4 linked regions of the Anolis sagrei genome follow. The protein of the gene in region 1 interacts with the protein of each later gene in a pairwise test. Links are inferred from orthologs where the notes say so. Each region holds a gene or a part of one and is shown in the gene's direction. Other genes may lie near its edges.

Region 1 (7,050 bases):
AAGCAGAGAAAGCCTGGAGGTTAGTCATTTTGCTGGTATTTGTTGCCACTAAAGTTGCCTGGGCCAACTTGGGCCCTCCAGGTGTTTTGGACTACAACTCCCACAATTCCTAACCGCCTACCGGCGGTTAGGAATTGTGGGAGGTGTAGTCCAAAACATCTGGAGGTCCCAAGTTGGCCCAGGCTTGTGATATAATCATTCATTCAAAGACTCTAAAAGGCAATGGAGTCCGACCGGATAGGAAGGCACAATCCAATCCCTCCCAACAGATGGCCATCCAGCTGTAGATTCAAAAACTCCAGCTTATCCCACTCTCAGGAAGTCCTTCTAAAAGTGTGATATAACCATGCATTCATAGAGTTGGAAGATATTCTAAAAGGCCATCCAGTCCAACCAGGTAGGATGGCACAATCCAATCCCTCCCAACAGATGGCCATCCAGCTGTAACTTCAAAACCTCCAGCTTATCCCACTCTCAGGAAGTCCTTCCAAAAGTGTGATATAACTATGCATTCATAGAGTTGGAAGAGACTCTTAAAGACCACGCAGTCCAATCAGATAGGAAGGCACAATCCAATCCCTCCCAGCAGATGGCCATCCAGCTGTAGCTTCAAAACCCTCCATTCTATTCCACTCGGGAAGTCCTTCCAAAAGTGTGATAGAATCATGCATTCATAGAGCTGGAAGAGACTCTTAAAGTCACAATCCAATCCTTCCCAACAGATGGCCATCCATTCAAGACTTCTAGCCTATCCCACTCTCAGGAAGTCTTTCCAAAAAATGGGATGGAATCATGCATTCACAGAGTTGGAAGAGACTCTTAAAGGCCATCCAGTCCAACCAGATAGGAGGGCACAATCCAATCTCTCCCAACAGATGGCCATCCAGCTGTAGCTTCAAAACCCTCCATTCTATTCCACTCGGGAAGTCCTTCCAAAAGTGTGATAGAATCATGCATTCATAGAGCTGGAAGAGACTCTTAAAGTCACAATCCAATCCCTCCCAACAGATGGCCATCTAGCTGTAGATTCAAAACATCCAGGCTATTCCATTCCCAGGAAGTCCTTCCAAAGTGTGAGAGAATCATGCATTTATAGAGCTGTAAGAGACTCCTAAAGGCCATGCAGTCCAACCAGATAGGAAGGCATAATCCAATCCCTCCCAACAGATGGCCATCCAGCTGTAGCTCTAAAACATCCAGCTTATCCCATTCTCAGGAAATCTTTCCAAAAGTGTGACATAATCATGCATTCATAGGGTTGGAAGAGGCTCTTAAAGGCACAATCCAATCCCTCCCAACAGATGGCCATCCAGCTGTAACTTCAAAACCCTCCATTCTATTCCACTCTCAGGAAGTCCTTTCAAAAGTGTGATATAACCATGCATTCAGAGTTGGAAGAGACTCTTAAAAGCCATCCGGTCCAACCAGATAGGTCACAATCCAATCCCTCCCAACAGATGGCCATCTAGCAGTAGATTCAAAACATCCAGCCTATCCCATTCCCAGGAAGTCCTTCCAAAAGTGTGATAGAATCATGCCTTCATAGAGTTGGAAGAGACTCTTAAAGGCCATCCAGTCCAACCAGATAGGAGGGCACAATCCAATCTCTCCCAACAGATGGTCATCCAGCTGTACCTCCAAAACCTCCAGCTTATCCCACTCTCAGGAAGTCCTTCCAAAAGTGTGATAGAATCATGCATTCATAGAGTTGGAAGAGACTCTCAAAGGCACAATGCAATCCCTCCCAACAGATGGCCATCCAGCTGTAGCTTCAAAACATCTCCAGCCTATCCCACTCTCAGGAAGCCCTTCCAAAAGTGTGACATAACCATGCATTCATAGAGTTGGAAGAGACTCTTAAAGGCACAACATAATCCCTCCCATCAGATGGCCATCCAGCTGTAACTTCAAAACTCTCCAGCTTATCTCACTCCCAGGAAATCCTTCCAAAAGTGTGACATAATCATGCATTCATACAATTGGAGGAGACTCTAAAAGGCACAATCCAATCCCTCCCAACAGATGGCCATCCAGCTATATCTCCAAAACCCTCCATTCTACTCCACTCTCTGGAAGTCTTTCCAAAAGTGTGATATAACCATGCATTCATAGAGTTGGAAGAGACTCTAAAAGGTCATCTCGTCCAACCAGATAGAAGGGCACAATCCGATCCCTCCCAACAGATGGCCATCCAACTGTAGGTTCAAAACCCTCCATTCTATTCCACTCTCAGGAAGTCCTTCCAAAAGTGTGATATAACTACATTCATAGAGTTGGAAGAGGCTCTTAAAGGCTATTCAGTCCAACTATAAGATCACAATCCAATCCCTCCCAACAGATGGCCATCCAGTTGTACCTCCAAAAGCTACAGCCTATCCCACTCTCAGGAAATCCTTCCAAAAGTGTGACATAACCATGCATTCATACAGTTGGAGAAGACTTTTAAAGGCACAATCTAATCTCTCCCAACAGATGGCCATCCAGCTGTAGGTCCAAAACTCTCCAGTTTATCCCACTCCCAGGAAATCCTTCCAAAAGTGTGACATAACCATGTATTCACTGAGTTGGAAGAGATTCTAAAAGGCCATCCAGTCCAACCAGATAGGAGGTCACAATCCAATCCCTCCCATCAGATGGCCATCCAGCTGTAACTTCAAAACTCTCCAGCTTATCTCACTCCCAGGAAATCCTTCCAAAAGTGTGACATAATCATGCATTCATACAATTGGAGGAGACTCTAAAAGGCACAATCCAATCCCTCCCAACAGATGGCCATCCAGCTATATCTCCAAAACCCTCCATTCTACTCCACTCTCTGGAAGTCTTTCCAAAAGTGTGATATAACCATTCATTCATAAAGTTGGAAGAGACTCTAAAAGGTCATCTAGTCCAACCAGATAGGGGGACACAATCCAATCCCTCCCAACAGATGGCCATCCAGATGGCCATGAATTCATGGTTATATCACATCCAGTTGTACCTCCAAAAGCTATAGCTTATCCCTCTCTCAGGAAGGCCTTCCAAAGTGTGATAGAATCATGCATTCATAGAGTTGGAAGAGACTCTTAAAGGCACAATGCAATCCCTCCCAACAGATGGCCATCCAGCTGTAGCTTCAAAACTCTCCAGCCTATCCCATTCCCAGGAAGTCCTTCCAAAAGTGTGACATAACCATGCATTCATAGAGTTGGAAGAGACTCTTAAAGGCACAACACAATCCCTCCCAACAGATGGCCATCCAGCTGTAGCTCCAAAACCCTCCATTCTATTCCACTCTCAGGAAGTCTTTCCAAAAGTGTGATAGAATCATGCATTCATAGAGTTGGAAGAGACTCTAAAAGGTCATCTAGTCCAACCAGATAGGAGGGCACAATCCAATCCCTCCCAACAGATGGCCATCCAGCTGTAGATTCAAAAACTCCAGTTTATCCCACTCTCAGGAAGTCCTTCCAAAAGTGTGATAGAATCATGCATTCATAGAGTTGGAAGACTCTTAAAGGCCATCCAGTCCAACCAGATAGGTGGTCACAATCCAATCCCTCCCAACAGATGGCCATCCAGCTGTAGATTAAAAAACTCCAGCTTATCCCACTCTCAGGAAGTCCTTCCAAAAGGGTGAATCATGCATTCATAGAGTTGGAAGAGACTCTAAAAGGTCATCTAGTCCAACCAGATAGAAGGGCACAATCCAATCCCTCCCAACAGATGGCCATCCAACTGTAGATTCAAAATTCTCCACTCTATCCCATTCTCAGGAAGTCTTTGAGAAAGTGTGACACAATCATGCATTCATACAATTGGAGGAGACTCTTAAAGGCACAATCCAATCTCTCCCAACAGATGGCCATCCAGCTGTAGGTCCCAAACTCTCCATTCTATTCCACTCTCAGGAAGTCCTTCCAAAGTTCTGCCTCCCAGTTCATTCATTCCCTTCCCATTCATTCCCAATATCTCTCTTTTTCCTCCTCCTTCCTTCTATTTCTCCTCCCCAAATCTCCCCCCTCCCCTTGACCCTCCTCCCACCGGAAGTGGCAGGAATTCCCAGGCTCCACGTGACGCTTTGGAATGCGGTGACGTCATCCCCGGGGTCTGTGCCTCTCTCTCTCCATTGCCTTTTGCAAAAAAATAAAAATACAGGAAAGTTGGAAAGGAAGCAGGAGCAGGAGCGGAGGACCCAGGTGAGAGCAGGTAGGAAGGCTCTACTCTTGGAAAAGTTACTTTTTGCAACCAACAGCATGGCTAGGAGCGAAGGGTGTAATGGGGGGAAACTTCTCCCCCCCCAAAAAGAGTGGAAAAGTTACTTTTTTCCTCATTGCTAGGTTCTAGGAGACTTCGACCCTCAAAAAGTAACTTTTCTTAAGTTCTAATAAGACATCTCTTTGATCTGTTAGGAAACCTCTTTCTTCCTTCATTCCTCCAATAGAAAAGTAACTTTTGCAAGGTCTGATAAGAAATCCCACCTCTCTCCTACTTTTTTGGTGGTGTTGGGGTCTCCAAAAAGTAACTTTTCCAAGGCTGGTTGATTCTGAATGATTGTGGGAAGTTTCAGGCAAGAAAGTAACTTTAATCTCCTTCTTTCCCCCCCCCCCCCTCCTTTTTGGTGGTTTTGGGATACGAAAAAAAGTAACTTTTCCAAGGCCTGTTGATTCTGAATGATTGTGGGAAGTGTCAGGCAAGAAAGTAACTTTAATCTCCTTCTTCCCCACCCTTTTTGGTGGTTTTGGGATCCCAAAAAAGTAACTTTTCCAAGGCCTGTTGATTCTGAATGATTGTGGGAAATGTCAGGCAAGAAAGTAACTTTAATCTCCTTCTTTCCCCCCTCCTCCTCCTTTTTGGTGGTTTTGGGATCCCAAAAAAGTAACTTTTCCAAGTCCTGTTGATTCTGAATGATTGTGGGAAGTGTCAGGCAAGAAAGTAACTTCTTCCAGCCATTAGTGACCACATTCTGGTTTCTTCCCATTTCCTCCAAGCCATGCTTGAGTGAGGAGAGTAACTTGGAAAAAACTTGGAAAAAAGTAACTTTTCTAAAGTTCTAATAACCCTTGGATTGATAGGAAACCTCTCTCTTCCTTCATTCTTCCTACAGAAAAGTAACTTTTGCAAGGTCTGATAAGGAAACTTCTTTTTTTCCCCTTCCTCTTACGTTTTGGTGGTTTTGGGGTCCCAAAAAAGTAACTTTTCCAAGGTTTATTTATTCCAAGGTTTGTTTTTCCAGCATTTGTGACCACATTCTGGTTCCTTCCCATTTTCCCCAAGCCATGCTTGATTGAGGAGAGTAAAACTTGGAAAAAGTAACTTTTCCAAACTCTGACCATTCCCATTAATTTTTTCCATGCTGATTAAGGAGAATGCTGTCTTGGGGGACTATGGTCTAAAAACAAGTAACTTTCCCAAGCATCTCCTTTGCTGGCTGAAGATGTCTAGGGGCTGGAGACCAAAAAAGTAACTTTCCCAAGCTCTGACCATTCCCATTAATTTTTTTCCGTGCTGGTTAAGGAGAATTCTGTCTTGGGGGACTATGATGTTAAAAAAGTAACTTTTATGAGCATCCCTTTTGCTGGCTGAAGAGATCCTGGGGGCTGGAGACCCAAAAAGTAACTTTTCCAAAGATTCCTTTTGGGTTTTTTCCCCATGCTGATTAAGGAGAATGCTGACTTGGGGACTGTGGTTTTTAAAAAGTAACTTTTCCAAGCATCCCTTTTGCTGATTGGAGACCAAAAAAGTAACTTTTCCCAGCTCTGAATATTTGAAAGTATATTTTTATTGCTTTTTATTTCTTTGTGGATTGAATGGCGATGCAGAGAATATATGTCAATTAAATCATTTTAATTTAAAATATTGCATTATTTTAAATTAAAACGAATTAATTGACATATTTAGGTATTTATTATTATTATTATATACACATTGTTTATTTGAAATCCGAAATTAGATTAAACATATTTTTATTGCTTCTTAATTTTTTGTGGATTGAATGGCGATGCAGAAAATATATGTCAATTAAATCATTTTAATTTAAAATAAATTATTATTATTATGTACATTATATATATATAATATATATATTTAATACATAAATATGTCAATTAAATCATTTTAATTTAAAATAATGCATTATTTTAAATTAAAATGAATTAATTGGCATATTTAGGTATTATTATTTATTATTATTATTATTATTATTACACATTTTTATTTGAAATCCAAAATTAGATTAAACATAATTTTGGAAAAAAGGGTTCCCAAAATCCACAACGATCCACCTGGGTGGCTGGCTGGGAAAGGATTGTACGTACGCAGACGTTGTTACCTGTGCAAAATGATTTTTGCAAATATATGATAACATTACCTTCAGGCTACGTCTCGAAGGCGCATGGATGCAACATCAGTGCAATTTCATGTCTCGACTTGGGCCTGGGTTTGTTTATTATGTCTATGCAAATATTCCAAAACACATTTGCTCCCTGAGCATTTTGGATAGGCTCAGCTGATCCTGGGAAAGAATCAGAAGTCTTGGGGTGCATCACTCTATACCAGACCTGGGCAAACTTTGGCCCTCCAGGTGTTTTGGATTGCAACTCCCATCATTCCTAACAGCCTCAGGCCCCTTCCTTTTCCCCCTCAGCCGCTTAAGCGGCTGAGGGGGAAAAGGAAGGGGCCTGAGGCTGTTAGGAATGATGGGAGTTGCAATCCAAAACACCTGGAGGGCCAAAGTTTGCCCATGCCTCCTCTGCACTATAAAATTAATGCAGTTTGGTACCACTTTAACCGCTATGGGTAAATTACTATGGAACCCAGGGAGCTGTAGTTTTGCAAGGCCTTTGCAAAGGACAGAAAAAGAAGGGGATAAATCTCCATTTCCTTTCTATGTTTCTCCTAAAATGGATATATATCCACACACACACACAAACACAAGAGATGAGATATATAATTTGCTAGCTTTGCGGCTTTCAGGGTGTGTCAAAGAGCTTCTGCTTCTTTGTTTAGCGGAACTGAAACCAGACTTTTTCTGAGTCAGCCCTCCTCCAGATGGGTTGGACTACAACTCCC
Region 2 (7,437 bases), on another chromosome or scaffold:
AAAATAACCTTGTAGTGCCTAGCCATTTTCCAGTAAAGAAACAATGCATTTAACAGGAGGAAGAAATATGGGGACAAAAACTAGCCCAAACAAAAACTGCAGACCAGCTAACCAAAAAGCCTGAGGTGCACTGATTCAGAAGAAAACAATTTGCTGCCCCTTTGGACCCCAACAGGAGTTTCTAAGGTTCAAAATGGAAAATGGGCATCCTATACTTCAGCGGAGAAGAGAGGTTTCTCTGGAGACACACAAGTGGGCTCATTCCAAGTGGATCAGCCCAATAGTTGGGCGGTTAACAGTAACAAGAGGACAACAACCAAGCCATTGGCCTTCTTTGATTTGAATCCTACAAAGTAGAATGAATGCAGTTTGACACCACTTTTCCCGTCATGGTTCAGTGCTATGGAATCACGGGAGTTGTAGCCTTGCAAGGTCCAGAGTGCTGGTGTCTTACCGAACTACAAATTCCAGTTCAATTCCATATCAAACCGCATCACCTCAAGCTCCATCAAATCTCTAAAAAACCGAGTTCAAGACTTTTCTTAGAGCAAGCATGGGCAAACTTAGGCGCTCCAGGTGTTTTGGACTTTTTCAAAATATTTATTTCGGTCATTGACCAGCACAGGAAATAGTGTCACATTTCCATACAAACCTGGCATGTTTGGTACATTAAAAATATAAATATAACTACTAAAAACACAATATGGGTGAGGGAGCAGAAGGGGAAACAGGGTAAAAACATACAATTCCTACCGGGTGTTAGGAATTGTGGGAGTTGGTCCAAAACACCTGGAGGGCCTAAGTTTGCCCATGCCTAGCTTAAAGGAACAAAACCTTCAGTTTCTTCGGTCGCACCTACACTATAGAATTAGCGCAGTTTGAGACTGCGTTAACTGCCATGGCTCAACTATATAGAATCATGGGAGCTGTAGTTTTAAAAGGTACCTCAACAAACTACAAATCCCGGGATTACATAGCACTAAGGCATGGCAGTTAAAAGTGGTATCAAACTGGATTAATTTTACAATGCAGATGCACTCTAAAGAGTTCTGCTAGAATGTTCCACCAGCTAATAATTTCCACAACATCCGCGCCTTACCTCTCAAGGTACCATGGCTATAGTAATTCAAGGGTGTGCACTAGAAGTCTCTGTCATTCTAAGTACCGTTCAAAACTCAGTTCCCTGAGGCAATTCAGTGTTATCTTTGTGCCATTCCCCATAGAATCATAGAGTTGGAAGAGACCTCATGGGCCATCCAGTCCAACCCCCTGCCAAGAAGCAGGAATATTGCATTCAAAGAACCCCTGACAGATGGCCATCTAGCCTGTTTAAAAACCTCCAAGGAAGGAGCCTCCACCACACTCCGGGGCAGAGAGTTCCACTGCTGAACGGCTCACAGTCAGGAAGTTCTTCCTCATGTTCAGATGGAATCTCCTTTCTTATAGTTTGAAGCCACTGTTCCACGTCCTAGTCTCCAGGGAAGCAGAAAGCAAGCTTGCTCCCTCCTCCCTGTGACTTCCTCTCACATATTTATACATGGCTATCATATCCCCTCTCAGCCTTCTTTTCTTCAGGCTAAACATGCCCAGCTCCTTAAGCCGCTAATCATAGGGCTTGTTCTCCAGACCCTTGATCATTTTAGTCGCAGATAGCAATTTATAAATTCGTTTTCATTGGGAAACATAAACAACTAAGGGTAGACCTAAGTTCTCACCTTGAGATTGGCCTTCAGCCCCAGAGCCTTGGCCAGGGACTGCAGCTCGCTGTACTTGAGCGTCTCCAGCCGCTCCTCCGGGGGAGAAACCTCCATGACTGGGCGCCTCCAGCCACCAAAGGGAAGGAAGGAAAGCTCCGCGCCCAACTGCCGCGCCTCGAAGCCGCTCGCGCGCTCTCCCTTCAAACCTTCACTCGTCGCGCGGCATTGGTTGGACGCTCGCGGAAGAGGGCGGTGCCTGAAGGAGGCCCGTGGCCAATAGGATGCCTTCGCGTGAGCCAGCGAAACAAAACAAAAAGGTTATTTTTTTCTAGGGTTTTTTTCCCCAAGCTTCTCGTACATTTTCGGAAAGAGAACGGAAACAGCCGAGCTCCCAACCCTTCCAGTTGGCGGAGAGACCAATCCTCCGGGGGTTGGGAATAAAATCAACCGGCGACAAAAGCATGAATGGGTTGCTGTAAGTTTTCCTGGCTGTATGGCCATGTTCCAGAAGCCTTCTCTCCTGACTTTTCGCCTGTATCTATGGTTTGTTGTTCATTCGTTCAGTCGTCTCCGACCCTTCATGACCTCATGGACCAGCCCACGCCAGAGCTCCCTGTCTGGAGCTCCCTGTCTGCAGTCACCACCCCCAGCTCCCTCAAGGTCAGTCCAGTCACTTCAAGGATGCCATCCATCCATCTTGCCCTTGGTCGGCCCCTCTTCCTTTTACCTTCCGCTTTCCCCAGCATCATTGTCTTCTCTAGGCTTTGCTGTCTCCTCATGATGTGGCCAAAGGTTGTAAGATCTCTTGGAAACTAGGAAAATGGGGTTTATATATCTGTGGAAAGAACAAGAGTTCTTTCTTCCAACCTTTTAGTCCGGGGGTCCTCAAACTTTTTAAACAGAGGGCCAGGTCACAGTCCCTCAAACTTTTGGAGGGCAGGATTATAATGTAAAAAAACAAACAAACATGAATTCCTATGCACAATGCACATATCTTATTTTAGTTCAAAAACCACTTAAAAACAATACAATAATTACAATAATGAACAATTTTAATAAATATTAATTTATAAGTATTTCAATGGGAACTGTGGGCCTGCTTTCGCCTGATGAGATATGATTGTTGTTGTTGTGTGCTTTCAGGTCGTTTCAGACTTAGGTTGACCCTGAGCAAGGGCCAGGTAAATGACCTTGGAGGGCCACAACCGGCTCCCGGGCCTTAGTTTGAGGTCCCCTGCTTTAGTCTTTAACTTTCTCTCCCAAACTGTGCTTGTGCCAGCTATCACCTTCCAACAAAGGATTCCCCTAGGCAGGAAGTGGTCAGGCTTGGAAGCTACAAGACCATTAAATGCTAATTAAGGTGGACAACTGCAGCATTCACACCTGCCTCCAACAGTGTCAGTGAAAGCCCTGGATCCAAACCTCAGCAGATACCAAGGATCTACTCCACACCGCATTTTAGATTGCATACCTTTGGCAGGTCCAGTGTTTGTTGTTTTACTTTTTAAGGCAGTCTGTTATTTCAAACAATGATATGAACAAAATCTGGCTACCAGTATTTAAAAACTCTAAAATCAGGACAGTAAATAAGGAGCAATACTCAGAAAACTGTGGAATTCCAGGCATGAAATAATCAGGGCCAGCTAGCGTATCCTAACAAAGGATTCCCCCAGGCAGGAAGCGGCCAGGCTTTGAAGCTGCAAAGGCATTGTATACTAATCAAAGTGGCCAATTACAACATTCACACCTGCCTCAAACAGAAAAAAGTTATTTTTCCCAGCCTGGACATTCCATAGATATATAAACGCCACTTGCCTAGCTTCCAACAGATCTCACAACCTCTGAGGATGCCTGCCATAGATGTGGGTGAAACATCAGGAGAGAATACTTCTGGAATGTGGCCATACAGTCCGGAAAACTCACAGCAACCCAGTGATTCCGGCCATGAAAGCCTTCGACAACGCCAAAGCATAAATGTAAAAAAAAAAAAAAGAGCTGAGTTAAGAGGGCCAGGCTTTCAAAAGGAAAGGAACCAAACCGCCACCGTTTTTGAGACCAAATCAATCACCGAGAGGCATTTCAAACACAAAGCTGCGCAGTTTAAAATCAACACAATGAAGCCTTCCCAAAAACATCAGAAAGGAGCTGGGATCTAGCGCCCACCCACGTGACTTTGAAACCGAATTGCTGCTTTTCACAGCGCATCGAGAAAGAAAGCCGAATTCCGGGAGAATTGCGGGAAGGGGGATAAATGCATGTCATATTTTCCCTTTGGAAAGAAAAGGGGAACTGAGAAGGGATTCAACAACCCGGAGTCTTTTTAAAGAAATGTATACATATAAAACGGGGACTACCTTTACCTTTACCTATACATATAAAAACACGCGCGCACACAGCACAAGAGAGTACCAAAATGCCAAAGGAACACGGTGAATGTTGTGAGCCGCTCTCTCCTCTCCAACCGAGTCTGCAGGTCTTACGAGAGAAAGACAGGCCTCTGCGTGGGAGGTCAAGTGCCGAAGAGACGTTGGCTTCGAGGCCTGCCTGGGCCACGGAAACGTCCAAATAAAATTGTTTTTAAACCGCCCGCGCCCCCGCTTTGTGTTATATTCTTGAAACCCGATTGGGTCAAGCCGCAAAGTAGGCCAATGGGCGAGGAGAAGGCGGGCGCGTGCTTAACGAAAGCGGGGGATTAGGTCTAACGGAAACGTGGGCGGGCAGCTCCAGCCAATGACGGTGGAAGAAGGCGGGCTCGTGCTTGGCGGGGGATGAGGTTTGAACGTTTGGCGGAAAACAAGATGGCGGTGCGTCGGCAACTGCAGCTGCTCTTCCAGGAGCCCCGAGTGGGTGGCGGCATCATGGTGGAGCGGGCAGGACCTGGAGTAGCGAAAGGCCCCAGCCCGCCGCCGCCGCCGCCAAGCAAGAGGCCCGAGGGTGCCTGGGAGCGGCTCCCCGGCTTTCGGGGCCTGAGACCGGAGGACTGCGTGCTCTACCAATGCCGGAGTTGCCGCGCCGTGCTGGGGGACTCGCTTCACCTGTGCGCCCAGGAGGAGAAGCTCCGCCTCCTCGCCTGCTTCAGTGAGTTCGCCTAGCTCGGGAGAGCGGAGGTTGGGCGCATCCTCGCTACGCCAAGTGGGGACAACCTGTGGTCCTCCAGTGCTTGGGCCTCCAACTCCCAGAAGCTATTGCCAGCCTGTCCAATGGTCAGGAATTCTGGGAACCTGGAGGACGAGTTTGGAACTCACTTGAGTAGAATGAATGAATCAGAAGTGATGGGCGTTGTTATTCAATAACAAATGGGCTAAAAATGAAAAGCAACTATGTGAAAAATATATTTGGCCCCCTGTATCCTCACATTTATTTATTTATTTATTATTATTAACTTTATTTATACCCTGCTAACATCTCACGAAGGACTCGGTGCGGCTTACAAGAGGCCAAGGCCCAACACATCAATAAAACAACAGCATAACAATACAACAATTAGTAAACTCATAAAAGAAAGCAATAAACATTAGACAATAACACCACAACACATTTAAAACTAAGGCCAGGCCAAATGTAATGAATAAAATTTAAAAAATGCTGGACATGACAGGTGAAATGGATAGGTTTTTGGAGATAGGTGCTGTGTGCAGACAATCTTAAATCTCTAATAATGTGCATTTGGGACATGATGCTAGGCGTTTCCTATTCTGGGAAGGCACACTGGAACAGCCACGTCTTCAAGCTCTTCCTAAACACTGCCAACGTTGGGGCTTGTCTGATGTCCTTAAAGAGAGAGTTCCAGAGTCGGGGGGCCACCACAGAGAAGGCCCTGTCCCTCGTCCCCACCAAACGCGCTTGTGACGCAGGTGGAATCGTGAGCAGGGCCTCTCCAGATGATCAGAGAGATTGTGTAAGTTTGTATACTGTATTTATATGCCGCGTTTCTCAGCCCTGGGTGGACTCAAGGCAGTTTACAACGTACTAATGGCAAAAATTCATTGCCAACATACAGTAGACAAATCATAATAACTAAGTAATTACTACATATAACTATGAACTTAAAATCAACTTAAACCATTAAACATAAATACATAACATTTAAATATTCAGACAAAGCATAAAATCACCCTAGTATAAACATTAGGCTATGTATCTCAGATGTATATGAAACATAAATGAATGTTGTGTTCAGGCTTTGGGTCTCATCTCCAAAATATCTCGAAATGTATCTGCAAGTATTCCAAGATCTTTAAACATTCTTATTTAAAAAACATTGCTAGTCCCATGGATTTTGGATAGGAGTTAGTGAACCTGAACTTTATCTCTGTTCTGAGTTGCATCCAGGTACGGACTATTTTTAAATTATTATTATTATTATTATTATTATACCCTGCTTTTCTCCCAGGACAGAAGCCTTATCTGCATTACATGATCAGTGTAGACTCATATAATGCAGACTGAACTGGATTATATGAATCTACACCAGGTTCTCCCTCCATGGATTCAAAGGCCCATTGAAGACAACTGTAAGGCTTGACACCACTTTAACTAATGTGGTTCTGTCCCCAGATGTTATTAAATGATAAACTTTTGAATATCTGCCATGCAGATTGGGGAAAATGGGAATTGCAACCCAACAGCACATGTGGCTCTGGGGTTGGAGAAAGGTTAAAGGACAAAGGTTAAAGTCGAATATCATATCCACAAGCCATATATCTAAATTCAGGCACCATCATTCTGACTAAAAATGACAGACTGCAACCTTACAGGTGTTACTTTTTCACATTGAACATCAGCTCCAATCATGTCTAATGAAGAGGAATACAGGAGTTGTCATCCAGCATCTGGAGGACTACACAGAAAGACATGGCAGGCCAGATTTGTGTAGATTCACCCTCAAAAATATTCCCAGCCCAATTACATTCATACTTCCTTGAAGGCTACCTCATTCCTACTTTGTATTTGCTTTGCTTTCCTTTCCTTTTGTTTTGTTTTGTTCCTGGCCATCTAACAATATAAAAATAGTTCACCTGTTTCTTTTTTGTTCAGCAAATGTACTGAGATTTTTCTGCAGTCAGATTTCCTGTCAAGTGTTTAAGCAGCATGCAATGATTAGAAGGATACAGTTAGCTCTTCAGATCAGTTAATTTGCAGATTTCATTGCTGTATTTGCAAATTGCTGTATTTATGCCACCTCTTTTGTTCTACTCACAGCCAAAAACATGTGGTATCTTCTGTCTAGGCATTTGTGGGTCCCACAAATGGCTAGAGCAGTCTTCTTTCAAGTAAAAAGTAGCATTTGCAATTTATATTTGCATTTTCCCCACTTTGAGACTATGTGCCACTAACACCGGTAAATGTAGAGGAGCTACGATATATTAAGGGTGTGCGAGACATCAAAAAACTGCCATTTTGTATGCAATATAATTAAATCTGTTAGCAGAAAATTTGGAGTTTAATTTTTTTTAAATGTTTTTCTCTTTCAGAAGTCACAAATGATATTGTTGTGGAAGATGATTTGATGGTTTGTGTGGAAGGAGATCTTACTGGATGGTGGGTATTTCTTGAAATTATTCCTTCTCTTTTATGCATGCTAAATTAAGTGATTAATGCGATGTGCGCGGCTTGATGAATGCAAAGCTGGGGTGAAAATTGCTGGAAGAAACTTTAACAACTTCAGATATGCAGATGACACCACTCTGATGGCCGAAAGTGAGGAGGAGCTGAGGAGCCTTCTAATCAAGGTGAAAGA
Region 3 (7,432 bases), about 86 Mb from region 1:
TCCTCTCGCTATTCCAAGTACCTCAACTTATATTGATCTCTCCCCCCTCCCAATTAAAAAAAATCCCAATACACCCCCTCCTCAATTCGGAGATAGGAAGGCAAAGTCTATTGTTAGGTGCATGAAAATGCGTCCAGAACAACAAGGCAACAAAGGAGGATGTGGGGACGTGTTGCAGGTCTATCTGGAGCTTCCAGTTGGGAGCAAAACTTTGCTTGCTCCGCCATCTCCAGAGGCACCAGCCTCAGCTCCCCCCCCCAACCCTTTCTCTTCTCTCCTGCTCTATCTACCCCCCCCCCCCCGCCTCTACATCTCGATGTGTCCCCCCTCCTTGCATTGTGGTGAGCGGAGAGGATTGTGTAGGCCTCGGAATGCAAAGCGCTGGGCCACAGACAGTCTAACAAAAGGGAAAGATGTCTTCGGAACAATGGCGGAGAAACGAGGGAAAGTGGTGGAGGGGCTGGCGATGGCAGGCCTGGAGAGGGGGGAAGAGAAGGTTTGGAGGGGAAAAGATGGCCTGAATAGATAGATAACGAAAGAAACTAGGTCGGGAGGCAAAGAAGGAGATGATATATAATTATAGAGGAAGATGGAAAGAAGCTGCAGTAAGAGCAGGCCCATTCATGAATGTGAGGCAACACACTGGTAAATCTGCTTTAAGAGAAAGGTAAAGGTTTTCCCCTGACATTAAGTCCAGTCGTGTCCGACTCTGGGGGTTGGTGCTCATCTCCATTTCTAAGCCGAAGAGCCGGCGTTGTCCGTAGACACCTCCAAGGTCATGTGGCCTGCATGACTGCATGGAGCGCCCTTACCTTCCTGCCAGAGCTGTACCTATTGATCTACTCACATTTGCATGTTTTCGAACTGCTAGGTTGGCAGAAGCTGGGGCTGACAGTGGGAGCTCATTTTCTATTGCTTTAGCCAGAACTAATAACAAAAATTCAGATTCCAGAGTGTTAAGGTGGGTGAAATGCGATGTCTAGCCTTTCCCCTTTTTTTCTTAACGTCCCCTTTGGCCCAAAATCTCCAAACAAAACATCAAACGCGATTGATTTTAGCCCATGTGTTAATTTTCTCTTCCTGGCCTAGCATGAAACAACATTTCACTCCAAATCCAGCTTCTGAACTGCATGAAAAGTTGTGCTTATTCTTTCCCAGTGCTCTGGATGTTTCTACCAATGACATGGCGAGGAGGCAGGGACCAGGGGAACCAAGGAGACCATTGAGAAATGGGGCACTCTGTCAAGCTCCTCCTTCAGTCAACAGAGCCATGGAGAATCCGTGCTTTCTTGCTGTTTTTTTTCTGTCTGAGAGCAAAATCTGAGCACTGGGTGCAGGCAGGGGCTTTCAGCCAAAATTGAGTATTTTCCCCCTTAAAATCCCATCTGCTACAAACTGGAGTTTAGCTCTACCAAATAAATAAGGGAGACTTACTTCCTGTAAACATCCAGGAGAATGCTTGTGCCCAGATCCTATATATCAGGCCTAGACCAACTTGGGCCCTCCAGGTGTTTTGGACTTCAACTCCCACCATTCCCACCATTCCTAACCATTCCTAATAGCCTCAGGCCCCTTCGCTTAAGCGGCTGAGGGGGGAAAGGAAGGGGCCTGAGGCTGTTAGGAATGGTGGGAGTTGAAGTCCAAAACACCTGGAGGGCCCAAGTTGGCCCTGGTCTGAATTATATATACTTGACTGAATCTTGATTTTGATTGATAGGGATCCAAACCTGAAACCACTTCAGGAAACAGCCCCAATCTGGATTGGTAGCTTGGAGAACTACTGAGTGGCCGAATGCGCATGCGCAGATGCCTTTACGCGCAGACCGGCACGTACACGCATGCTCCAATGGATGGAACATCCCAGCAAACAACCCTCCATACAACAATGTCAACTTGCTCTTCGGGTTCATTTCAACTTTGCCCTAGGAATACACTATGCAAAATAAGAGCCTTTGCTAAACTAAACCTTGCAATTTTCGCCTCTCTCTCCAGGCAAAGTTCTCCAAGAAGCAGAGCTTACTCCTCACTGTATCCCTTGTCTCCTCTCCAGTCAAACCACCAGGAACCTTATCCCTCGCCCCCATGTTATGTCCTTTAGGCTCACCTTGCTTTTCAGATTTCAGATTTAACTTGAATGCTAAGCTCCCCCTCCGCATGCTTCGATAGGCCATATCTTTTTTCCATCTTTTTATGTGTAAACAGTAGGTCCCTGTGTTGTTGAAGGCTTTTGTTGCCAGAATCTCTGGGTTGCTGTGAGTTTTCCGGGCTGTATGGCTATCTCTCATGTTTCTGGAACATGTCAATGAGCCGGGGAAACTCACAGCAACCCAATAGGACCCTGTTTTCCCTTTCAGCAAGTTCCTAACCCATAGAAAGCCACCTTTCTTTAGACTCCTTTCAGGTCCGTAGCCAGGATTTTGATGCGGGGGTGGGTGGAGTGGGGCTCAGTTTGATTGGGGGGGGGGGCTGAGTTTGATGGGGGCTGGGGGAGTTGAGGATCTACCCTAGCAAACCTTTTGTATCATTATCCCAATACCCCCATGCATATGGGATATATTGAGCATGGTGATCAGATATGAATAAACATAACAGTTTAAATAATGTACCAGTAAGGCCTTCTCGCAGACCACCCTGAGAATTTCGGGGGGGGGGGGGGGCTGAAGCCCCTAAAGCCCCCTCCCCCCTTACATGCTTCCTCCTTTGATTTCAGTGAGTGAAATGGGGGACTTTCACACTGGGAAAAGACAGAGCTGGGAAACAATTACCAGGGGAACTACTGAGGCTGCTTCCAACGTCCCAGCATTGAATAACACAATCCCCAAATCTAGGGAACCTTTGATTTCAGTGCCTGGCGTCCACGAAGCCCCACCGAAGGGAAACAGTTCTCAAGTGACCAAAGGAAGCCCCCCCCCCTTCCATTGTTAAGTCTCCTCCCCCTAATTTCTAAGTCTGTCATCCAGTGTTGGTGTTTTCAGTCACAAATACCCTTTTAATGGGTTGTTGTGTGTTTTCCGGACTGCATAGCCACGTTCTAGAAGCATTCTCTTCTGACGTTTTGCCTCCATCTATGGCAGGCATCCTCAGAGGTTGTGAGGCCTGAGGATGCCTGCTATAGATGCAGGCAAAACGTCAGGAGAGAATGCTTCCGGAACGCGGCCATACAGCCCTGAAAACACACAACAACACAGCTTCTCGTTCTCTGTATCATTAGCCATTGGTTTGCAATGGGTAGACTGCAAGGCTGCAATTTGCTATGTCCCCTATCCCAACGAGAGGAAAATACATGTGCTTTAAACAGTCCTCACAACCTTTTAGGATGCCTGCCACAGATGCAGGCGAAACGTCAGGAGAGAATGCTTCTGGAACGTGGCTACACAGCCCGGGAAACACACAACAACCCAGTGATTCTGGCCATGAAAGCCTTAGACAATACAATACCCTTTTAGTTTCCAAACAGTGCATATGAGAGGGCAGGAAAGGACGTAGAGCCAGGCAGAGGCAGTTCCTGAGAGAGGCAGAAGGAAGGAGGGAAGAGGGAGGAGAGGAAGGAAGAGAGAAGGAGAAAAAGGCAGGGAGGAGCAGAGAAAGGCAGAGTTTGCACAGGCGCACTGAGGGCTCTGCAAACGCGGGCCGGGGAACCAGCTGCCTTGGCAACCCTTTGTAAGCACTTCCTCCAGCAGCCAAGCGGAGACGGATCGCTTCAAAGGCGGAGAGATGGGGGGAATGGAGAAACCTTGACTCCAAACCCACCCCACTGTCTCGCAGAGCCCCCCCCCCCAAACATCCAGCCCTCCGCCCGCAAAGGCACAATGGCGTTGCTTGCTTCATTCCCATGCAAATCATCCTTCCCTCGAGGAGGCTGGACCTACCAGCCCCGTTTTAACTCTTGCTCTGCGGAGGCGCCCGGGGTTTGGTTGGTGCCCCGCCGGAGATCACATCCATCCCCCACGGACCCCTTTCTTTCTCCTATTGACCCATTCACGCACCCACTGCTGGGTCCTTCTCCTCCATCTCCTTCCTTAGGTCTTGGTGCTAGAACCAGATCTGGTGCTGTCTGGGAAGAGAGAGAAGGAGGCGAGGCTGGCCCTCTACCGCCCCCACGCCTGGCTTCCTGGGCTTACCTGCTTGGCCGGGCTCTCCCCGCTCTGTCCCTCCCGCGGCGGGCGGGCGAGGATGGTCTCTCAGGCAGGGCGCCTGGGCTGGCTCTCCAAGCAGCCCAAGGCATTGACTGAGGATGGGCGAGGAGGAGGAGGAGGAGGAGGAAGAGGAGGAGGGGGGAGCGAGGGAGGTGTTGGCTGCGCGTCACCTTGACGGAGCAGCGCTCGGAATTTAAATGCCACCGCCAGGGCGATCCATCAAACAGGAAGGGACCGGGCCACGCTGGCAGGAGGCGCCGCTATTGGCTGCCGCCCTCACGTGGCCGCCTCCCGACTGTACATTCATATCATTTTTCTCCGGGGCCCCCATGGAGGAAGTGGGGAAGTTGGCACGGGCACCCGGGACTCCCAGCAGCCGGTGATAGATGGACTAGATGGACGCGGCGAGGATGAGTTCCTTCCTCGATTACCCGCCCATCCTCAACGGAGGAGAGCCCGCCACTTGCTCCCCCCGCGCCTACCACCACCACCATCATCCCCACCACCACCACCGCCACCACCACCCCGAGCATGGGGCCACCGCTAGCACCACCTTCCCGTCCTGCGCGGTCAGTGCCAACGGCTGCAACGGGGACGAGCGCTTCCTGGTGTCCCGAGGGGTGCCGCTCAGCCCCCATGCCCACCACCAGCCGGGCCCCGCCTACCAGCCTCACCCCGGCCTGGGCATGTCCTACCCGCACCCGGGCTACGGGGCACAGGGCTTCGGCGCCGGGGGCTACGGGCCCCACTACCCGCTGAGCCCCGAGGCAGAGGTGAACGCCGGGTACCCCCAGTGCGCGCCCGGCCTCTACTCCGGGAACGTCTCCTCCTCGCCCTCGGTGGTGCCCCACCCGGCGCAGGGCTACGCGGGGGCCGCGGTGGGCTCGGCCCCCTACCTCCAGCCCCCCTATGGAGAAGAGCAGCAGGGACTGCCCTTGACCAGCTATGGACACCCCTTGTCCCCTCTCCAGTCCAGCCACCAGGAACCCTGCGGCTCCCCCTCAGCTTCCGAGACCTCTCCTCCGGCCCAGACTTTCGACTGGATGAAAGTGAAGAGGAACCCACCCAAAACAGGTGAGTCACCGTCCCCATTAGTCGGGCTGGAAAGACATGAGAGAAGGATCCCATAGGATGGTAAAATATCCTCTGCAGACGGCCCATTCTCTCACACGATTTAAAAAGTCGGGCTGGAAAAGTTGGAAGTGCCAAACTTTCTTCTGCTCTTTCTTTCATTATTTCGAAATAGACCACTAGCCACCAGACCAGACCCAAATAGACTGAAGAAGAATTAGAGTTGGGTTCCTGAAGCTGGGCGATTAGCTTGCAAGGGGGACATGTTCTGATTTGGGGTTCTAATTGAAAGACAACTATTTTGGAAAGGGGATTTATCCTCCCATCAACTGCTCTTGGGGCTTCGAATTGAAATACTCAACTTTGAGGTCCATAGGTGTTTATTTATTCCTTCCACGAGGGTGGTAAAACATTAAACATCCGGGAGTTTCCTGGCTAACGTCCTTGCAGACGGCCAATTTTTTTTCACACCAGAAGCAACGTGCTGTTTCTCAAGTCATTCCCTTTGGGGTCCTAACAGCAACCAATTCTCTGGTGTCCTATCATCTCAAGAAGTTAGTCTCAGTATAAGTGGGGAGTCTTTGAGCAAACAAAGTCAGAACTGGCCCAGAAAGTTTCTTTCAAGGTGACAGGTATAAAGGCCTTGTCTCTTAATACCTGTCACCTAGAGCTTTGAGGAGCCCGGGGTAGTGCAATGGGTGGCACAATGGGTTCGAATCTGGGGAGAGGGCTGAGCTCCCTCTGTCAGCTCCAGCTCTTCATGCGGGGACATGAGAGAAGCCTCCCATGAGGATGGTAAAACATCAAACATCCTGGTGTCCCCTAGGCAACGTCCTTGTAGACAGCCAATTCTCTCACACCAGAAGCGACTTGCAGTTTCTCAAGTCGCTCCTGACACAAAAAAGAAAAAGAAACCTTGCATCTTGTGGTGTCCACCCTCCCCTTTGCTGGCAGGACTGAAGACTGACAGGTCTCAAATTCGAATCTGGGGAAAGCGCGGATGAGCTCCCTCTGTCAGCTCCAGCTCCCCATGTGAGGACAAAAGAGAAGCCTCCCAGAAGGATGGTAAAACATCAAAACATCCGGGCATCCCCTGGGCAACGTCCTCGCAGACGGCCAGTTCTCTCACACCAGTAGCGACTTGCAGTTTCTCAAGTCGCCCCTGACACAGAAAAGAAAAAGAAACCTTGCGCCTTGTGGTGTTCACCCTCCCCTTTGCGGATTGCGGTTGCCTTATTGTTCTTGTTGTCTTTTTTTCTTTTTCTCCAGGGAAAGCGGGCGAGTACGGCTACGTGGGTCAGCCCAACACGGTCCGAACCAACTTCACCACCAAGCAGTTGACGGAACTGGAGAAAGAGTTCCACTTCAACAAATACCTGACCCGGGCCCGGAGGGTGGAGATCGCGGCCTCTTTGCAACTCAACGAGACCCAGGTCAAGATCTGGTTCCAGAACCGCAGGATGAAGCAGAAGAAGCGGGAGAAAGAGGGCTTGCTGCCCATTTCGCCGGCCACCCCGACCGGAAGTGAGGACAAAGCGGAGGAGTCTTCGGAGAAGTCCAGCCCATCCCCGTGCACCCCCTCCCCGGCCTCCTCTACCTCAGACACTCTGGCTACCTCCCATTGAACTAAACGGGACCCACTCCCCAATCCTCGAAGGCACAATCCTTGCGTCGTTTTTTTTCTAGATTGGGTTCAGAAAGGCTTTAAACAAAAAAACTATACATTTCCTCCCTCCGGGTAGTTTTATGTCTCCACTGGCACTAAGATGTCAGAGGGGGGAACCAACCCCGCGAGATCCTGAACTTCTTCACTCTGGAAGCCAATCCCCTTGATTTCAGAGGACTTTCTTCCCCCTCCCCCTACAAATCGGTACAACGTTTAATCTCTTCCCAAAACCAAGGAAGAGAGCCAGAGTTGTGCAGTGAGCCTTTCACCACGATTTTAGAGACCAAGGCTGGATCAAGGAAACCCACAGGGTGACCTTGGGCGAGTCACACTCTCTCAGCCCTAGAAAAAAAGGCACATAACAAGGACAACTAACAACTGCAACAGCCAAGGAAAGTAATGTGGTGAGGCTTAGTTAGAGACTAACTGGAACCTCATTGATTTCAGTAGGATTTCGTTAGGATTGGTTTACTACCTTTGAATAAGTTCGGTAATGGGTATCCACAATCCCCTTTATTATTATTATTATTAGACTAAATTTCCTTCCTCAATTTTTAAA
Region 4 (7,261 bases), about 86 Mb from region 1:
GGGGGTGGGATAAGGGAACCCCACAATTGCTCCTCTGGAGGGGCGTCAAGTTCCAAAGCCATTGTTTTGACTTCTGTAGGCACTGGGTTTCAAATTCCCTCCTTTCTAGACTGGCTTTGTTAGAGTCGCCACATTTCATATTTTCCAGCTTTGAATAAGAGACAAAAGTGGAGAGTTTTCAAGAAAAAAAAATGGAAGAGACTTCTAGGTTTAGACAGTTTTTATACAGATTTCCTTCAAGGTCAGGAGCGCTTTTCAGTAGCAGGGGAATGATCTTTCCTTTCCTTGTTTAGTCGATGACTTTCATGGACGCAGGAATCACAGGGATGTTGTGAGTTTTCCGGCCTGTATGGAAACAAAGGATTCCCCCAGGCAGGAAGAAGCCAAACCTTGAAACTGATAAACCATTAAATGCTAATCAGGGTGGCCAACTGAAATATTCACACCTACCTCAAACAGACAAGAGCTCTTTCTCCTACCCTGGACATTCCACAGATATATAAACCCAATTTGCCTAGTTTCCAACAGGCCTCACAGCCTCTGAGGATGCCTGCCATAGATGTAGGCGAAACGTCAGGAGAGAATGCTTCTGGAGCATGGTCATACAGTCCAGAAAAATCACAACAACCCATCTCCTTTTCTTCTTGCAGGGTCTTTTTCTTTCCTGCTGCTTGTCTGGATTGTCATAGCAATCTTTACCTTTGTCTTGCCCTGCCATTTTCCTTCCTTTCCTTCCTGCTTTCTAACCCTCAGCCGGGAGAGAAAGCAAAGGAATCTGGGAGCCATCTCCAGCTCGGATTGCGAGCCGCTGCTTCGTTCTCATTATATTTTATTGGGCTATATTGTGTCTGAGGAGAAGGAGGGAGGGAGGGGAGAGGAGGGTAAGCCAGCCAAACACACCCACCCGCCTCGGTCGCCTGGTTTCCAGCGGTGGCAAGGCAGCCCTTTTTCTTGCTTCTTCCCTCCTCTACCTCTCCAAGGCACACATATCCTCCAACGCAACTCCGAGGCCTCTGTAGGAAGGGATTAAGACGGGGCCCTTGCGAGAAAGGAGGGGAAAAGAAGGCGGGAAAACAAGGCCAGGATTTCCCCGTCGCTCGCCCACAAGGCCTCGGTTACGATCATTATTGTCCACGGCGGCAGCAAAGGCAGGAACCGCAGCTGCGAGGCGGAGAGGGAGAGAGAGAGAGAAGCGAAGGCGCTGCAGAGCCTTGTTTACGCCGGAGACGTGCGTTGTTTACCGTTCGTGCAAATGAACAAGACCTCTCCGGGGATCTAGGGCGGGGAGGATGTGGGGATATCCGCCGTGGGGTCTGCTTTCGGCCTTTTCTGGGAAGAGGGGAAAGGAGGGAGCAGCAGATTCGCACGCCTTTTCGCCAGTCTGTTTGGAAACTTGGAGGCTTTGTTAGGATTGTAAATGCAACGAGTGGGTTGTGTATATGTGCAGTTGTATACTGGGAACCAAGCCCGGGACACCCAGAAATGTCGAGCTTTTCGGTTGGAATGCGGATGCCTGTGGCTGGAACTACACTTTCCAGACAAAGCAGTTTGAGTGGCGTTATATGGCCAATGTAGACCCTCATCAGGCAGTCTGAAGTGCATTGAACTAATGTATTGTCGAGGGTTTTCATGGCCGGAATCACTGGATTGTTGTGTGTTTTCTGGGCTGTATGGCCCACAATCTCACAACCTCTGAGGGTGCCTGCCATAGATGCAGGTGAAACGTCAGGAGAGAATGCTTCTGCAACATTGCCATACAGCCCGGAAAACACAAAAATATGCATTGAACTACGTTATGTGCGTCTACACTGCCCATAAGTATGCACTTCTAATATAACCCCAGCCAGTGTTTGTAAACTCAGGCGTCAAAAGCTCGATTTTAAATGTAAAGGGCTTTCTTAAATACATAAATATATAGGCTCGCCAATAAAACTCAAGTTTAGGTATACAGGCTCCTAGTATTGGGTGTTTACTCCATTGTGGAGCTGAAACAAATATGTATTTCTTTGTTTGGAAAAATACCATTGAAGTCCTTCATAATTTGCATAGCATATCCTTTGGCTCAGGGTTTCTCCAGATTTCAGTGGCTATATGTGTGTGTGTGTGTGAATTATATATATATATATATAAATAAATTTCAGTGGCTCTCTCTCTATATATATAAACACACACACACACATTTCAGTGGCTATATATATATATATATATATAATAACAAGAACGCCTGTATCTATGTGTGTTAAGGAAACATTTCATAGGCATTGGCTTACCGGTGAGGCCGAATTCAGAGAAGAATATAGCTCGAAAATTATTACTGTAATTTAAACGTGAATGAAAATTTTCCAGTGATAGCTCTAGCAGAAAATTCAAAGAAAATAGTTAAGGCTAAGAAATGTAAAACTCTTGGGTGTGACAGTATAAAACCCGTAAGGCTGCTAATTTTGCATACTTAGCAAGAAGGCCCACTAAAGTTGGTGGGTCTGATATATAAATATATATATATATACACACACACACACACTTTCTCTCTATCTCTCAACATATATATATATATATATATATATATATATATATATAATACACACACTCAATAGTGTACATATATATACATATATACATATATACACACATAGTATTGAGTGTGTGTATATGTAGATGTGTATATGTATGTTTATATGTGTATATGTATTGTCCTTCATGCACACTTACTCAATAGTATATTTTTACACACACACACACATATGAGAGCTGTGAAGGACTATTGGAGTCTGTTGAAATTGATATAATATTATACAAACCGGAAGGAAATAAGGCTGTTTAAAAGTCACCAACAACCGGAAATACGCTTACTTATTACTTGGGAGTCCCTAATATTTGTATTTATGGGCAAGGGGCGATATCTGGTAGCCGCTGCCTTAAGATAAGACCAGAAATGTATTCACTTGAGGTGAAAATATATTTATTTAAGTGAAAATGAAGCTTAACTGTAGACCCGCGTTTCTTCTGTTTCCATGCTGTGTCTGTCCTTACATGAAAATTAATCAAGTTGGAAATATACAAGTCCCTTTGGAAATAACATTTCTGCATAGGAGAAAGAAACACGCAGATTATTTATTATCTCTATAATTCCAACCCAACTTTTCTCCCCTCTAGATACTTGAACTGTCTTTGTTCAGGAGTACAGAGAGATTATTGTGTTATTCTGATGTAGTCAATCGAGCCTGATTCTCCCTAATCAGAAATGAAAATCTGCTGCCATTTCCGAAACACGAAATGCAATAAAGAAAACATGGGAGGAATCCTGCTGTTAAGATTATTTTCTCTCCTTCAAGGAGGAAGGAAGTTCTGTGAACATATTTCACAACAGCTGACTCTCGATTTTAAACAAAAAATGACGCAAGGCTTCCCCTCTTTCCAGGAAAGACACAAACCCATAACACGATACATGTGCTTGTTGTATTTTTGTTGCCGCTATCTCTATGCAGACACAAATAGTTCCAATTATCTCACGAAAGTAACTATAGTAGCTACTCAAGTCTTCTGGGAAACGTTATTTTGCGTGTGTAGGTAGGGGAGATTATTATCAGCAACTCCTGAGCCCTTTTATTTCTGATCAGATAATTACTTTGTGTAATCTTCAATATTCTGGTATTTTTAAGAATGGAGAAGTGTCTATTCCGTTTCTCTCATTCGAGATTGGCCTCTTGGAGCACAAGGAGGAAAGACATTAATGTAGACTAATGAAAAACATGCGCTTTGCACCAGGAATATTCACACACGAATCTAATTAACACACGATTCTCTTACTATTAGACAGCCTCTAGACTGAATAACGCCGCTGTTTGAGACTAAAAACAAAAGAACCCTTTTCTTCCTCACCCCACTCTTGAGCTCCGTTTGTGATTCCCAAAAGCAACAGCTAAAGAAGAAAAGAGAAAATAATAATAATAGAAAGGACAAAAATAAAACCACAGGAATCCACCGAGAAGACAAAGCCTTCAAATGTCACAGCCACTGAGTATTTCCCCCATTACTTTAATTCACAACACTGGCCTTGATCGGAGGGCCATATCCTTTTATTGTTGTTGTTGTTGTGATTCTGGGGGTAGAGAGACTATAACCCTCCGCCTCGTCCCCATATTGCTCCCAGAAGCCCCATAGAAAGTGCCAGGGAAACAATAAGTATTCAGACCTTCTAAGATCTGTTTGCTTGGAGAAAGCAATGCCAGAGAAAGGGGGGCGGATGCCAAGGGGGGGGGGCTCTCCAATCCAGACATGGTTCAGGAAGGTTCTCCAGGAGAGGACGGGATGGGGAAGCATTACTAACCCCCTCCCCGACCCAATCCATACATATATAGTCTTCCCCAGCGGTAGCATGGCTCTGGTTCCTCCTCTCCAGACAGAAGAGGAAAGAGGCAGGAGGGCTCACATACCAAGAAGCCCCTCTGCAGTCAACTTGATCGAGGCGGGTGGGTGGGTCTCTTTGGTTTGCCCTCCAAACGTCCATGTTGCTCTGCTTTCCCCCTTTCCAGTCTTTTTTTTTCTTTGTCCACGTGCATGAAGAAGCCTACTTCCCCCAAATATATATATTATAGCATTTGGAAATACTACACACATATATATGTGTATATCTGGCTTCCAAAGCTGAGTGTTTGTGTCAGAATGTCAATGGATCAGCGTGCAACCCGCTGCTGGAGTTTCCCTGAAGGAGGGGGGCAAGAAACACGGCGTTGGAGTGGATCTGGAAATGTGGGTTCGTGGGAAGGGCTCCCCGTTGTGTCTCCGACGACCCTTGGCTCTCAAGGTGCCCCATAAAGAGCCCCAAACCCCCCTCTTGTGCCCCCCCCCCCGCTTTCCTCTCTCCTCGTCTGTTCGGGCGCGTGAGAGGAAAAGAGGCAGATCCGAGGGAGACAGGCTTCTTCTCTTGGATTTGACTTTTCGCCTTGCCAGCCTCCCGTTCGCTCTGAACTCAGCCGCACAGTATTATTTACAGTACAGCTTCCCAAAGTACAACACAATAGTATAATTTAACCTTTCCAGTGCACTCGTAAATTTTTACTGCCGCGAAACACAGCGATGCAAATGAATATGCTCGTCGTTACTGACTTAATAACAACCTGGTGGCTCCCGAGACAATAACTCCTTATGTATGAAATAGAATAAATATAGATTTAAATACAGTGCGCCCGCCCAATGTTATTTTCCTTTTCTTTATTTTTATGGCTTCCATTATTGTATAATTTTATGTGAAGGTCTCCCATCACTTAATAATAATAATAAAAATAAAATAAGGGAAGCCTGTCTTAGTTTTTTTTTTCTCCTCTCCTTTCTTGGATTCTCCAAACGCCAACCTTTGATGGGATGATTAATTATGATATAAAATAGTCCCCTCTTTTAAAGGAGGGCAAGACCCACCCTCCCCTTTCCCCCTCCCCCTCCTGAAAAAAAATCCCTAATCTTTTAATCTTATTTGCATGCCACAAAAACCCAAAGTTTGCTCGTCCAACTCGCCCCCTTTACATTAAAAAAATTCCTAAGGCTGAGCTATAAAAAATGATGACTCGAAAACACTGACCCATTAATAGCCTGCGGACTGATTTATACTTTATTGTTCTGCCGCCCGGCCACGTGAGGCGCGGCAGCCAATCAGAGGCCCCGGCCGCCTTCAACTTATTAGGTGACTGTACTTCTTCGCCAGGACCAAGTTGTGACATGAAATCTGCCGTTTCATAATTTCGCCGGGTCTTGCCTCTCTCTCCTCCTTCCTTCCTTTCTCTCTCTCTCTCTCCCCCTTCTCTTCTTTTTCCTCCCTTCCCTTCCCTCCTCCGCCCGGGCCATGACTTCCTCGGGGACGCTGAGCAACTACTACGTGGACTCCTTCCTGCTCCACGAAGGCGGCGAGGAGCTGGGCCCCTCCGCGGCGCGCTACGGCTCGCTGCCCCTGGGCCAAGTGGGCTCCCGAGGGGCGGCCCCCGAGCACGCCGACTTCTCGGCCTGCAGCTTCCAGGCCAAGGCCTCCTCGGTCTTCTCGGCCTCCTGGAGCGCCGCCCCGCCGCCTCCGCACCCGCCTCCGCCTCCTCCGCCGCCCCCGGGCTCCGGCCACGTCTACCACCCCTACGTGCACCATCCGCCCCCGCTGCCCGCCGCCCCCGACGGCAGCAGGTACCTGCGCTCCTGGCTGGAGCCTCTGCCCGGCGGCTCCTTGGCCTTCCCCGCCTTGCCGCCGCCCGGCCGGCCCTACGGCATCAAGCCCGAGCCGCTCCCGGCCCGGCGGGGGGACTGCCGCACTGCCTTCGAGCCGCACAGCAACGCCCTCCCCCTCACTGACTATGCCTGTGGTTCCCCCTCAGCTGAACGGGAGAAGACCCCCGGAGACGGGCCGCCCTTCGCCGAGAGCCACGCCGAGAGCGAGGCCGGAGCAGGAGGAGCAGGAGGGGACAAGAACCAGATCGACCCCAGTAAGTGGGACCCACTGGGAAGGGAGAGGGCACGGAGGCAGGGAAGATCCCTCTTGGGCTGGATGGCTGGCAGGCAGGGAGAGAAAGAAGGGTGTTCAAGGTAGTTTGAAGTGCATTTTCATACCATTTGCACTTGGTTTTGTATTTTTATATATTCATATCAATGCATTTGCTCTGTTTTTAGTTGTGTCATGTTTGGCTGGTGCTACACTGCCCGACAATCAGTGTAGAGCCATGCAGCTCAAGCTGCATTGTATACTTTCTACACTGACTATATAATGCAGTTGAAGCTGCATTTACTTTCTGCACTGACTATATAATGCAGTTCAAGCTGCATTATATACTTTCTACACTGACTATATAATGCAGTTCAAACTGCATTGTATAGTCTCAACACTGAGCATTTAATGCAATTAAAGTTGCATTGTATAGTTCTACATTGAGCTTATAATGCAGTTCAAGCTGCATTGTTTACTTTCTGTACTGACTATGTAATGCAATTAAAGCTGCATAGTATAGTTTCTACACTAAGAATATAATGCAGTTCAAGTTGCAATGTATAGTTTTTGCACTGACCATATAATTCAGTTCAAGCTGCATAGTATAGTTCTACACTGATCATATAATGATCAGATCAAGCTGCATTGCATAGTTTAACATTGAGCTTATAATGCAGTTCAAACTGTATAGTATAGTTTCTACACGACTCAAGTTGCATTGTACAGTTTCTGCACTGACCATATAATTCAATCCAAGCTGCATAGTATAGTTCTACACTGATCATGTAATGCAGTTCAAACTGC

What was found.
Region 2: the proteins of TRIP6 (region 1) and OIP5 interact in binary tests that used the Homo sapiens proteins (3 or more experiments, as listed by UniProt). The two-hybrid records come from large-scale screens. The link is inferred for Anolis sagrei from reciprocal best matches to the Homo sapiens genes TRIP6 and OIP5.
Region 3: the proteins of TRIP6 (region 1) and HOXA1 interact in a two-hybrid assay, tested with the Homo sapiens proteins (2 studies listed by BioGRID and IntAct). The two-hybrid records come from large-scale screens. The link is inferred for Anolis sagrei from reciprocal best matches to the Homo sapiens genes TRIP6 and HOXA1.
Region 4: the proteins of TRIP6 (region 1) and HOXA9 interact in binary tests that used the Homo sapiens proteins (3 or more experiments, as listed by UniProt). The two-hybrid records come from large-scale screens. The link is inferred for Anolis sagrei from reciprocal best matches to the Homo sapiens genes TRIP6 and HOXA9.

What each region holds. Positions count from the first base shown.
Region 1 is NC_090026.1:4,966,564-4,973,613, forward strand, and holds the start of TRIP6 (thyroid receptor-interacting protein 6), read left to right. Parts: upstream 1-4,036; 5' UTR 4,037-4,188; intron 4,189-7,050. UniProt on the Homo sapiens protein: Relays signals from the cell surface to the nucleus to weaken adherens junction and promote actin cytoskeleton reorganization and cell invasiveness. Involved in lysophosphatidic acid-induced cell adhesion and migration.
Region 2 is NC_090021.1:288,820,640-288,828,076, forward strand, and holds the start of OIP5 (protein Mis18-beta), read left to right. Parts: upstream 1-4,437; 5' UTR 4,438-4,465; coding exon 4,466-4,775; intron 4,776-7,171; coding exon 7,172-7,238; intron 7,239-7,437. Other genes in the region: NUSAP1 (nucleolar and spindle-associated protein 1), read right to left, coding at 1,716-1,811. UniProt on the Homo sapiens protein: Required for recruitment of CENPA to centromeres and normal chromosome segregation during mitosis.
Region 3 is NC_090026.1:91,199,009-91,206,440, forward strand, and holds HOXA1 (homeobox protein Hox-A1), read left to right. Parts: upstream 1-4,424; 5' UTR 4,425-4,531; coding exon 4,532-5,210; intron 5,211-6,476; coding exon 6,477-6,832; 3' UTR 6,833-7,414; downstream 7,415-7,432. UniProt on the Homo sapiens protein: Sequence-specific transcription factor. Regulates multiple developmental processes including brainstem, inner and outer ear, abducens nerve and cardiovascular development and morphogenesis as well as cognition and behavior.
Region 4 is NC_090026.1:91,096,936-91,104,196, forward strand, and holds the start of HOXA9 (homeobox protein Hox-A9), read left to right. Parts: upstream 1-4,256; 5' UTR 4,257-5,836; coding exon 5,837-6,458; intron 6,459-7,261. UniProt on the Homo sapiens protein: Sequence-specific transcription factor which is part of a developmental regulatory system that provides cells with specific positional identities on the anterior-posterior axis.